Linked DNA regions of Xenopus tropicalis. The protein of the gene in region 2 interacts with the protein of the main gene of each other region in a pairwise test. Links are inferred from orthologs where the notes say so. Each region holds a gene or a part of one and is shown on either strand. Other genes may lie near its edges.

Region 1 (4,416 bases), on a different chromosome or scaffold from region 2:
CATCTGCAGGGCACCCCCACAATCTGCAGTAGGGAAGAAATCCACTGGATGAATCTAGTGTTTGATTCCATTCGTTTAAAGGGTAAGTGAAACTATACCTAACAGGCGGGGTCCTTCAGGAAAGGGTCTATACCATGAAGCCAACAGGCGGGGTTCTTCGGGAAGGGGCCTATACCATGAAGCTAACAGGCAGGGTTCTTCGGGAAGGGGCCTATATCATGAAGCTAACAGGCGGGGTCCTTCAGGAAAGGCTCTATACCATGAAGCTAACAGGCGGGGTCCTTCAGGAAAGGGTCTATACCATGAAGCTAACAGGTGGGTCCTTCAGGAAAGGGTCTATACCATGAAGCTAACAGGTGGGTCCTTCAGGAAAGGGTCTATACCATGAAGCTAACAGGCGGGGTCCTTCAGGAAAGGGCCTTTACCATGAAGCTAACAGATGGGGTCCTTCAGGAAAGGGTCTATACCATTATATTGTAATTGCACTTATATTGTAATGTCACCCACTGTGACCTACAGCACTTATATTTGCCTATTTGTGTCTGTTAGTTACCCCTCCCATATAGATTGTAAGCTCTACGGGGCAGGGACCTCCTTCCTCTTGTGTCCTCGACTCTTAACTTATTGCTGCTGTATTTATTGTTATACTTTGTATTTATCTATTATCTTATTAACCCCCTGTTTGTATTAATGTATTCTACTGCACAGCGCTTTATAAATAAAGATATACATACATACATACATGAAGCTAACAGGTGGGTCCTTCAGGAAAGGGTCTATAGCATGATGTTAACAAGTTGGTCCTTCAGGAAAGGGTCTATACCATGATGTTAACAAGTTGGTCCTTCAGGAAAGGGTCTATACCATGAAGCTAACAGGAGGGGTCCTTTAGGAAAGGGCCTGTACAATGGAGGTAACGGGTGGAGTCCTTCGGGAAAGAGCCTATACCATGAGGTTAACAGGTGGGTTCCTTTGGGAAAGGGCTTATACCATGAAGCTAACAGGTGGGGTCCTTCAGGAAAAAGCCTATACCATGAAGCTAACAGGTGGGGTCCTTCATGAAAAAGCCTATACCATGAGGTTAACAGGTGGGGTCCTTTGGGAAAGAGCCTATACCATGAAGCTAACAGGTGGGGTCCTTCATGAAAAAGCCTATACCATGAGGTTAACAGGTAGGGTCCTTCGGGAAAGGGTCTATACTATGATGTTAACAAGTGGGTCCTTCAGGAAAGGGTCTATACCATGAAGCTAACAGGAGGGGTCCTTTAGGAAAGGGCCTGTACCATGAAGGTAACGGGTGGAGTCCTTCGGGAAAGAGCCTATACCATGAGGTTAACAGGTGGGGTCCTTTGGGAAAGGGCCTATACCATGAAGCTAACAGGACGGGTCCTTCAGGAAAAAGCCTATACCATGAGGTTAACATGTGGAGTCCTTTGGGAAAGGGCCTATACCATGAAGCTTACAGGAGGGGTCCTTCAGGAAAAAGCCTATACCATGAGGTTAACAGGTGGGGTCCTTCGGGAAAGAGCCTATACCATGAAGCTAACAGGCGGGGTCCTTTAGGAAATTTTCTATACCATGAAGGTAACGGGTGGGGTCCTTCGGGAAAGGGCCTATACCATGAGGCTTACAGGAGGGGCCTTTCATGAAAGGTTTTGACCCACCAAACTAGGAACTTCCCGGTAGAGTTGCCACCTTTGCCAGGTTATAAATGCAGACAAAGGAGCGTGCATGATGACCTTGGTGCTGTATGTCTCCAATGTCACCACGCAAACCGCTAACATCATCACACAATGTTATCACACGATGACGTTTCTGCCTGCGTGATGACGTTGGGGGTGGGGTAATTGAGTCTGCTAGGTGCAATTGGGAGGATTTCTGCCCACTTTTTAGAAAGTTGAAAACTAGGCAGAATGTTTTGACCTGGACAGTCCCATGAAAAACCAGGCCGTCTGGGTCAAAACCGGACCGGTGGCAAGCCTTCTTCCAGGAGACACCTCCTCCCACATCCCCTTCCCCCCATCCCCAGGCCTTTATCCCAGCCACCTTCTCAAACCTGCCATTAGCCAAATATTACAGCCATCAAGTAGGGTCATTCTTTTTTTTTACTATTTGCTAATCTCAGACTATAATGTTCTGCGATGTTCTCCCACCCTCCGCTCAGGTTCCAGGTCAGTGAAGCCACCGCGGAACCTCACACCTAGGCCGACACCCCTGGGGATTATACACTTATAAATGTCATAAAGTGTCTTGATCCTGTGCTACCGGCCCCTCGGAATCCCCGCATTCCTCCCCAGGACACATATCTCATTTTCTCTCCTGCATTGCCCCCCCCCCCCCCCCCCGCTCCATTCCAGCTGAAAGAAAATTGCTTTAAAATGATCCTTAAATTAGGAGCAGACATTGCTGGGGTTTAGTGTTCCTTGGCAGAGGGACAGCGGCGCGGCCTTCCCATTCACCATAATTGGGGGGGCTGCCTCGGAGCACAATGAGGTGGCAGAGACATCTGCTTGCAATCAGGCCCGGCGCTAGTAAATGCTGTTATTGTATGTAATCTCTTTATGGGGGCGCATAATGCGGCGGCTGATGATGATATTTAGGGAAAGCTCCTCTCAAAGCTGACAAATCCGCTGGTATCCTATGTGGCGGGATGATGGGCAAATATGGCGGGATGATAATGTTACCCGCGGTTACACCGTGGGGGTATAACTCGTCTCTGAGAGTGGGCTAAAGGGTCATAATCTTAAAGGGGTGGGTCCCCATTAAGGTAACTGTTTAGAACTGCCTATTTCAAGCAACTTTTCAATTGGTCTTCATTAATTATTTGTTATAGTTTTTGAATTATTAGCCTTTTTCTTCCAACTATCTGCAGTTTTTAATAGGGGTCGCTGACCCCGGCAACCAAAAAACTATTGCTCCAGTGTGTGAGGCTCCAGTTGTATTGTTATTGTTACTTCTTCATATATTCATATACCAGTTTCTCATTCAAACTGCCCCCCTGGTCGCTAAGGTCATTTGGACCCTAGCAACCAGAGAACTGCTGAAACTCCAAACTGCGGAGCTGCTGAACAAGTAGTGAAATAATAAAAAATGAAGACCAATTGCAAATTGTTTCATTGTGCAATAACTCAAAGGAGAACAAGTATAAAGGATGCCAAGGTGCCCCCATTGGCTACACAATGTCCTCCGGTGGGTGGCAATTGGTCACTGCCCACCTCCATGATTAGAACCAAGGCCTTGGGTGGGGAGGGGGGCCCCAAACCATGAATGTTCTTCCAGAAATGTCTGACCGCCTCTGCCTTAGGGGAAACGCAAGCAGAAAACAGCACAGAGGGGGCTAAACTGGATAATGCTGCTATTAAAGGAAATTACAGCCGTCATATTTAGGGAGCATTCTGTGTTTTTTTCACTTGAAATGGAATATTCCGTGGCAGGGTTGGCGGCCGGCTTGTCCCCTGGTAAGGAAAGTACTGGGAGAGACCAAGTTTTCATCAAAGGCCTCATATAAATTGGCTGAACCTTCTGGCGCACCCTGTTGGCTGAACATCGCCATAGACAAATCCGGCCACTAGAGGGCGCCCAATGCTTAGTCTGTTGTACAATTTCTGCCTCATCGCCAATATGGGACAAACACTTGCATTTCATTGGTTCATTTCTCCCAGACAAAACCTACTGTTCATAAAAGGGCAGGTACATGTTTAATTATAAAGGAATGGGAGGGGCTGTGTAAGGTGATAGGTCAGGTGGGGCATAACTGGGACGTGGCTAGTGTAGACATTTTTGCCCATGCCCACTTTTTGTGGCCAAAGAGAGCCCCCCTGAAGCCCGCCCGAGTTACCTGCCCCTCTGCCTGCGCCACCTGCCCCTCCGCCTCCATCCAGGGGGGGGGGGTTCCGATGCCTATGGATGTTACTGAGAAACAAATGTAAATCATAACCGTGTAATGTCCAGTGCTGCCCAGTTGGTCTGGGACTCTGGGGCCCACCAGATATCAGGGGCCCCCTCTTACTGCAACTAGATGTATATCCAACTCAACCCACCATAAGGCTACCTCTTAAAGGGGCAGTTCACCTAACTTTTAGTATGTTATAGAATGGCCAATTCTAAGCAACTTTTCAATTGGTCTTCATTATTTATGTGTTATAATTTTTTAATTATTTGCCTTCTTCTTCCAACTCTTTTTATATAGGGGTCACTGACCCCGGCAGCGAAAAACCTATTGCTCTGTGAGGCTCCAGTTTTATTGTTATTGTTACTTTTTGTAACTTTCTTTTCTAATCAGCCCCTCTCCTATTCATATATCAGCCTCTCTTCCAAACCACTCCCTGGTTGCTAAGGTAAGTTGAACCCTAGCAACCAAATAGCTGCTAAATCTCCAAACCGCAGAGCTGCTGAACTGAAAAGGAAATAACTACA
Region 2 (3,651 bases):
GGTAAAATCTAGGCAGATTGGGGTGGTTTGGGGGAGGACTGGGGGTGTTGCAAGTTAACAGCAACTACATTGCCTTTGCTTTGGCAGGTGTTTTACCACCTATAGCAACCAATCTGCAGGTAGAATTTACTTGTCTCCTGTATAAAAGCCAACATGTTTTTGGTTGTTATGGATTACTGGTACAGGTATGGGACCCCTTATCCGGAAACCCGTTATCCAGAAAGCTCCGAATTACGGAATGCCCGTCTCCCATAGACTCCATTTTAATCAAATAATTCAGAATTTTAAAACTGATTTCCTTTTTCTATGTAGAAATAAAACAGTACCTTGTATTTGATTCCAACTAAGATATCATTAATCCTTATTGGATGCAAAACAATCCTATTGGGTTTAATGTTTTATTGATTTTTTAGTAGACTTAAGGTATGGAGATCCAAATTACGGAAAGACCCCTTATCCGGAATACCCTTGGACCCGAGCATTCTGGATAATGGGTCCTATACTTGTACTGGGAAAACCTAGTGCCTTTTATTACATATGGGGGTTAAAGTTTCAAAGTGCTTGCTGTGACCTACCACACTAAATATATGAGAGATGTACTGCATGCCAAACTGTTGGCTCTGACTTGGCCAATATTCCAAAAATTTCTGAACATCTTCCATGAGTAAGCCCTTCTCTGCTTCATCAAATTTGTCTATATGGTTCTGTAGATCATCAATGGAGACCAAGCATCCCTCAGTGAGGCCACTTCCTTCTCTCTCTATCCTCCAGAGAATTCTTGCAGCCAGTCTGTTGTTATACAGAGAAACAAGAGAATAAACACACAAAGACAAAACACAAATGCTGCGCTAAATATTTTAGGTGCAGTTTTGCCTACATGTATTCAATGTCTTAAATGTAGCTATTGTTTACTTAATATAATGAGAATTTAATTTTAATTAAATAGGACAGTAAAATTGATTTATCTTTTATTTTGCAACTTCCTGGTGTAGAATAAGGGGAAAGCAGTTTATAGATTTGCAGAATGCCCGGTATGATGAACTTATCTGTAAAGCTGAGACTTAGCCTGCAGCTCTTGGAATGGAGGACATTGTTTATACTGAGCTCATTATCTCTGTGATGGCAGCGGGAGGGTGGGTAGACAGAATACATTTGAACTGAACTTGTTGTACTTATGATTTTCATGCTGAACATATAATATAATGTCATTTTATATAAGTGTTGGATTGTGTTTACTTAGTTGCCCAGGGCTGGAGAGAAGCCTTTCATTATTTTAGCAGCCAGCAAAAGTCCATGTTAAGCATATATATTATAAAAGTGCTTAGGGGAGAGCATTGTGATCAAATAATTCATGGGTTTATGGGTAATTCAGGGTTTATATACCTGATATTTTCATTCGGTGCTTTACCGGCTTTCTTAATGGCCACACACTCGTTTTTGTGGTTGGCCCAGGATTCCTTTTGACATGTCCGGTCACAATAGTGAGCAAATTTACACTGTCCGCAGCGCAGTAGTTTCTCCTGCCTCTTGAAGCATGAATGGCACACTGAATGGGAGAGACTGAAGAGAGAACATAAATTATAAATTATACAATTTTTTTTTCATTTAGACCCTGTGGATAAAATAATTAAACTGGAATATCGAGCACAGTGCTTGCGGTTTTCCATATGTAGCCAATAAAAGGAATTCTGGGAATGAATTCCAAACTCCCTATGTAGCCAGAAACTTTTAAGAGGAAAAAGCAGGCTTCAAAGTGCAAAAAAATTAGCAATCTGCCTTTTTCTTTGGACTTTGCACTCTGCCTTTCCCCTTATCAAATTGCCACAAATCTCTGTCCAAGGACACAGAGAATTTTGGGTTCCATTCAGACATGCAAATTTATAAATGGCAGGGGACGTAGGATGCAAAAGAACTCTATACTTACTGCCTGCCCCATGCTGGACTGTGCCCACCAAGGCTAGGCTTTACACCCCATGACTGACTTTTGATATGGAGCAAGTTGCAGTCATAAATGAACTCAACTTTCTTTCCAGAGCAGAATATCGTAGAATCAAAGGGATACTTTTTTTCATAGGCCATGATTAGAGAGTTCATCACATGTAAACAGTTATACCAGACATCTCAGTAATGGCCACCTCACAATATTGGTGTGCCATCTAGAAGTATCCCAGGAGAATCTATAGCTAAGCAGCAGCAGTTATAACTGCCCATCTGTTATATCTCAGTATATGTGACAATGAAGAGTAGTTCAGCTGGTTTGCTGGCTGCCATATCTGGCTGTGGCACCTGGTGCACAGGCTTCTGTCGCTGATTGGCTACCATGACCAATGACACTGGAAGCAAGAACCATATCAGCTTCCGATGTGTCTGCTCCATCGTAGAAGTTACTGGGTACACTGTTTTCTCAGCCCAGGCACAGGGCAAGAGATATTGGTGACACTACAATATGTTATACATTACATTACCTCTAGCCTAAAGCTGGCCATATACGCACCGATAATATCGTACAAAACCTTTGGTGCGTGTATGGCAAGTCGGCGAGGCGACCGATATCGCAGGAGGCTGCTGATATTGGTTGACTCAACGATCGGACGGGTTAAAAGATTTTGTCGGGTGCCATAGAAGGCACCTGAGCAAAATCTGCCTTCAGAGCTGAATCGGCAGAAGGAGTTAGAAATCCTATTGTTTCTACCTCCATATCTGCCGTTTCAGCCCTGAACGTTAGTGGCCGATTGGAACGTGTGTGGCCACCTTTAGGCTAATGCCCCATGGAGAGATGCGCAGGCCTTTCCACCGACTGCAATTCCCTGTGTTCCAGATGGAAAGGCATGTCCGGAGAGGTTAGTCCCCTTTAGTAGCAGAGATTTATCATGGGGACTAATCTCTCCAAAAGGCATTAGCTTTAAGATGACACTTTTTTTACTCTCTCTCTCTATCTGGGAAAAGAATGGAGGTTTTTTTATTTATTATAATACACAAGTGTCCATGAGGTGTGTGACAAGCACTGATTATAACTGATGGCGTCACTATATCTGCATTATATCATTATAATACACAAAAGTTTTGAAGAACTTTTAATATATATCCTTTTAAATAGTGCTTATTAATGTCATCATTTCTGAGTGCTTACTGATGTCAGTTGTGGAATAAAACCTGTGAAATATAATAAATAACACACCCCCTGCTGTAACATATAAAGTATTAGAAATCATTTCAAGATTTCATAACCTGTATAAAAAGTACTTGGCTTTCCGGCTTACACCATTATGTGTCATGTAACTATAAGGTGACGTCTAACACCCTAACATTTATGGATACGTATTTCTCTACATATAATATGCCATTTGTGTTTGTGGTGTTACAGGATAATATAATGCTCATTTTGTAGTAGTTCTGTTCTAGCTATGAGGCAAGATGAACCCAGTACTTCTGTGCAGGGTAGAAAGTTATGTGCTCTCCCATGGGGCACCATGGGGTAATAGGCAATGCAGCCTATCAGAATAGAGGCTATGTTTGTGGTGTTGAAGTTAATTGGACAGAATTGCACAGGTTATACTGTATTTGCCACCCTCTGACCTGGGATCTGTTTCATTAGCCACTTCATTGCCTTCTGCTTTAGTTTTGATACAGCATCTACATTAGCATTATTAT
Region 3 (4,332 bases), on a different chromosome or scaffold from region 2:
TTTCAGCTTTCCCCATGTCTTGCAAACGCAGGTGCCATCTTGGGAAGGTCAGCGTCACCACTTTCGCCTCATAATACACACTGTGCATGCGCACCTATCTGGGAGCTTACAAAATATTGCGAGAGTTGCACAAGCACAGGGGAATTTGTGACTGCGCAGCAGAAACACCAGTCCTTCATTAAAGGTACAATGTGCAGATTCTCTTGTACAGATTTTTGTTTTAGGAGTTATGGATGTAAATTTTTAAGTCAATGTTAACAGGTGTCTCTGTGTCAGTGTCATGGAGCAATGGGGTGTCAGTGCTGAATGCTCTTGGGGTGGAGGGGGGGGGGAAATAAAGTTCCTGTATTTATTTCCTTTAAACAGCTACATTTTAGGGCTGATTTACTAATCCACGAATCCGAATGGGAAAAATTCGGATTGGAAAACGAACATTTTGCGACTTTTTCGTAGCCGGTACGACTTGTGCGAATTGTCGCCACTTTTCCATAGCCATTACAAATTTCGTGAATTGTCGCGACTTTTTCATAGCCAGTACGACTTTCGCGAATTGTGCGACTTTCGTATTGAGCGCTCGAAAAAGTCGCAAAATACCGATCATTACAAAAAAAACGCATTCGGACGTTCGTGGATTAGTAAGTGTGCCCCTTTGTGTCTTTAACACATTACCCTGATTTTACATCTTTTTTCCATGGTCCCTTGAAAAATGTAAAATGGGGGTTCTACTGCATGTTTTATTTAATTTTAGTTTAACTCCAATTTTAGGTTTGTGAATGCCTCCTCTAAATATATAAATTCAGACTGTTTAACATGCCTCAGCTTAAGGTGGTCATACACAGGCCGATCGTAGCTGCCGATATCGGTCCCTTGGACCGATACGGCAGCTTATCGGCCCATGTAGGGGCAAAAACGACGGCCATATCTGAAATTGGCCAGATATCGATCAGGCAGGTTAAAAGATTCAGTCGGATCGGGGACCGCATCGGCTTGTTGAAGCGATCCCTGAACTGACTGTGCTATTGCCGCCGTTAGAATTCGATCGTTTGGCCCCAGGGCCACGCGATCGAATTAGCCTACATTTTCCCAGTATCGCCCACCCGTAGGTGGGGATATCGGGAGAAGAACCGCCAAGCCAAGACATCGCCAAGCAAGCGGATCATAACGTGGTCAGGCAGGCCCCTAGTTTCTGCCCCTACACGGGCCGATAATCGGCCTGTGTATGGGGACCTTTAGCTGCAGTGCAATAATGTTTATGTTTAGATAACAGGTAATCAGGTACTAATAAAACTTAACTGAAATCTTAAGTACCCTTATGTAAATTCCACCTTTATTGGGTATCAATGGCCCTTTTTCAGGTTCTACATTCCTTATTTCCCCTAACATTATTAAGCTGTATATTCCTAAAAACATTTCAATTTTAACAAAGTTTATACACATAATATATAGTGGCTTACATTTATTTTGTGCATAACAATTTGCACACACTTGTATGTGTCTTTCTCTGAATGAAAGAGCAGTGATCCCAAACCAGTGGCTCACGAGCAGCATGTTGCTCACCACCCCCTTTGATGTTGCTCTCAGTGGCCTCAAAGCAGGTCTTGTTGAATTTCTGACTTGGAGGCATAAAGACCATAGGTACTACCAAACAGAACATCCTTTAGTTTGCCAATCCACGTAGGTGCTACAAAATAACAGATTTTTTTGGTCACCCCCAAGAACTTTTTTCATGCTTGTGTTGCTCCCCAACTTTTTCTTATATTTAAATGTTGCTCACAGGTTAAAAAGGTAGGGGAACCCTGCTTTAAAGTCTTTAATAATGGAACTAAGGTGTAGTTCCATCCCTTGCAGGAATGCCAGCCACACTGGTTTTGAAGGTAGCCCAATCCTGTGACAGACTGAATACCAATGTAACTGGTATTTTGGCATATAATTGAATTGAAACCCCAATCCCAGCATAGTAAAGCTAACAGTCTATCCTGGTAAAATTCACTGGAGCTGGCAGGTGGGGGAGATCCAAGCAGTGTACTTTGTGTGTGATAATAAAGTTTGCATATGTTAAGTATAATGGATTAATAAAATAAAGAAATCATTGTGTGGCTAGGGCCCACAAAATATTGCCCTGCATAGAACAAAATTAATAAGATTTGCAAGTTTACTTTACTACTATCACATACAGTAAAACCAATATATGCCCCCCCCCCCCCCCAAAGAAACGTAATTACTTTTTGTCACAAAAATGTCACACCTACAATATTAATATTCCCATGCACAATTGGCATGATTGTTGCCCTGGTTGTAAAAGACCAAATATAACACAAGATTTAGAATTAGACACATATTAATACAAGCGGCCTTTAAAAAGTAGCAATGCCATATCCAACAGTAGCAATAATCACAATCACCCACGTCAACCTATCACTTCCCCCACCACGAAGATAATTCCTACCTAGACGGCGGGACACAAAGTGGGTGGGGGCAGACATTTCAACCCCTCCCACCTGTACAAAAAGGAACCTCAAGAGACCAGGCGGGAAAGCTGGCCCAGTTATTATTACCCAAAGGCTACTAGCATCTCACCTTACGTCTCGGACTTTTACGGCCTTCATAGGGTTCGCCGCTTTAGGTAAAGCGCGACTGACTGCGTCTCTCGCAGTCCGAGACACGGGAGCGGGAAATACAGTAGGCCTCTGAAAATAGCCACCAACAACCGCATCTAACACTACTTGTATTACCTTGCACCTCCTTGTTGCGACCTCCTTTCTTGCTCATCGATTTCCTTCCCCCTGTTGTTTGGGCATTTGGTGCACGCCGTCCCCAGCGTTTTCGACTGCGTGTGCCCACGAAACCTAGCGCACAGGCCCAAGCGCTTGGAATATTCCACTTCTCAATGGTGGGGGACGAGGGGAGTAGAGCTCATCAGTTTGTTTGTGTCCCACAATGCAACGCGCTCAGAGGGGGGTGGCGTTGTGTGACGTGAAGAAGGGCGGTGACTGTCTGGCGACTAGTTGCTTGGATACAGTTTGGAGGCTGCGCTGTGTTGTAGAAAAAGTAGGTTGGAAGAACGAATCGTGATTTCTAATATAGTTGGTGATTATTACGAGCAGGAAGTTAATTTTGCTTTGCAAAATCATGTTAGCATCAATAGAGCACGGTAAAAGGGACTAATTGATGTTAGAGTGTTTAACTATCTGGCATTTATTGTATTTTGTATTTTTCTACTAGTTATTAGCATGCTGTGTTTTCTAAAACGTTGACAATCCGTAGGAAGCTGCAGGAAATTTTTCAGGTGGGGCAAAGTCATCGAGCAAAAACAACCTGTGGCAAGTTTGCAGGAAATCAATTTATATATGTAGCCCATAAAATCACTCACAACTTACAGGATTGTATAACTAGAGGGACAGCTTAAGAAGAGAGTAAAAATTATGAGCAACCCTGATTTTGGCTACCTGCACTTTGTGAACACACCCTAAATACCACTTTACCAAAACATACTTCAGACATGCTAGTATACTTACTAAAACAAATTGATAACAAGCATATTTACCCCAGATGAACCAGTATAGTCACTAATTAAAATAGATAAGCATATTAACCCAATATGTGCCAGTATAATTACCGTGGGAAAGGAACTGACAATCTGCTCAAGACGAGCAAGTATAATCCCTCAATAAAATCGATAATGGGCATAACTACAGATGTGTAAGTATAGATACTACAGAAATTGGACAATCTGCCTATTAACCGATAAGTGGAAATATAATTGCAACAGATAATGCACTATCCTCTATCAAAAGAAACACAGGATTTCTTGTCTCCTTTTTTGTAAACATGTTCTTTGGGTATCTGACTTCCTCTCTCAGAAAAATCCTTCATTCCCCGGCCCAAAGTCTTAAGCTTCCCATACACGAGGCGATTTCACTCATTGTGCGACGAACGATTATATCGACAAACGATTGTATGGCGATCGGGTTTCCATACGATATGCCATCCACGGGCAATGATAATTTGCAAAAGATTTAATCGTATCATTATCGTAAAATACGTACGATCGTACATCTACGTACGATCCAATGTCGTGGCGGAAGCGGTATTTATTTATTTATGTTTGTTGACTTCCGCTGCTGACAATCTTGACATGCGCAGAGAACAATCGTTCGAAGACAAATGTCTGACACTCACACCAACTGGCAGATTTTATCGTTAAACTACTAAAATTTTTAAACCTGGCCGATCGATTTTGGGGGCGATAATGTCGTGTCGATTAGTGGGCCGACGATCGTTCGCACACCATCAACTATACGATAACTTAACGATAGTATCGGATTGTTCGGG

What was found. The genes of interacting proteins can lie anywhere in the genome.
Region 1: the proteins of smyd1 (region 2) and fam204a interact in binary tests that used the Homo sapiens proteins (3 or more experiments, as listed by UniProt). The link is inferred for Xenopus tropicalis from reciprocal best matches to the Homo sapiens genes SMYD1 and FAM204A.
Region 3: the proteins of smyd1 (region 2) and zbtb44 interact in binary tests that used the Homo sapiens proteins (3 or more experiments, as listed by UniProt). The link is inferred for Xenopus tropicalis from reciprocal best matches to the Homo sapiens genes SMYD1 and ZBTB44.

Annotation. Positions count from the first base shown.
Region 1 is NC_030683.2:6,070,936-6,075,351, reverse strand, and holds the start of fam204a (protein FAM204A), read left to right. Parts: upstream 1-1,578; coding exon 1,579-1,584; intron 1,585-4,416.
Region 2 is NC_030677.2:18,437,379-18,441,029, forward strand, and holds part of smyd1 (histone-lysine N-methyltransferase SMYD1), read right to left. Parts: intron 1,561-3,651; coding exon 1,384-1,560; intron 790-1,383; coding exon 576-789; intron 1-575. UniProt on the Homo sapiens protein: Methylates histone H3 at 'Lys-4' (H3K4me), seems able to perform both mono-, di-, and trimethylation. Acts as a transcriptional repressor. Essential for cardiomyocyte differentiation and cardiac morphogenesis.
Region 3 is NC_030683.2:70,131,128-70,135,459, reverse strand, and holds the start of zbtb44 (zinc finger and BTB domain-containing protein 44), read right to left. Parts: upstream 2,839-4,332; 5' UTR 2,770-2,838; coding exon of another isoform or gene 2,733-2,769; intron 2,691-2,732; exon of another isoform or gene 2,578-2,690; intron 1-2,577. UniProt on the Homo sapiens protein: May be involved in transcriptional regulation.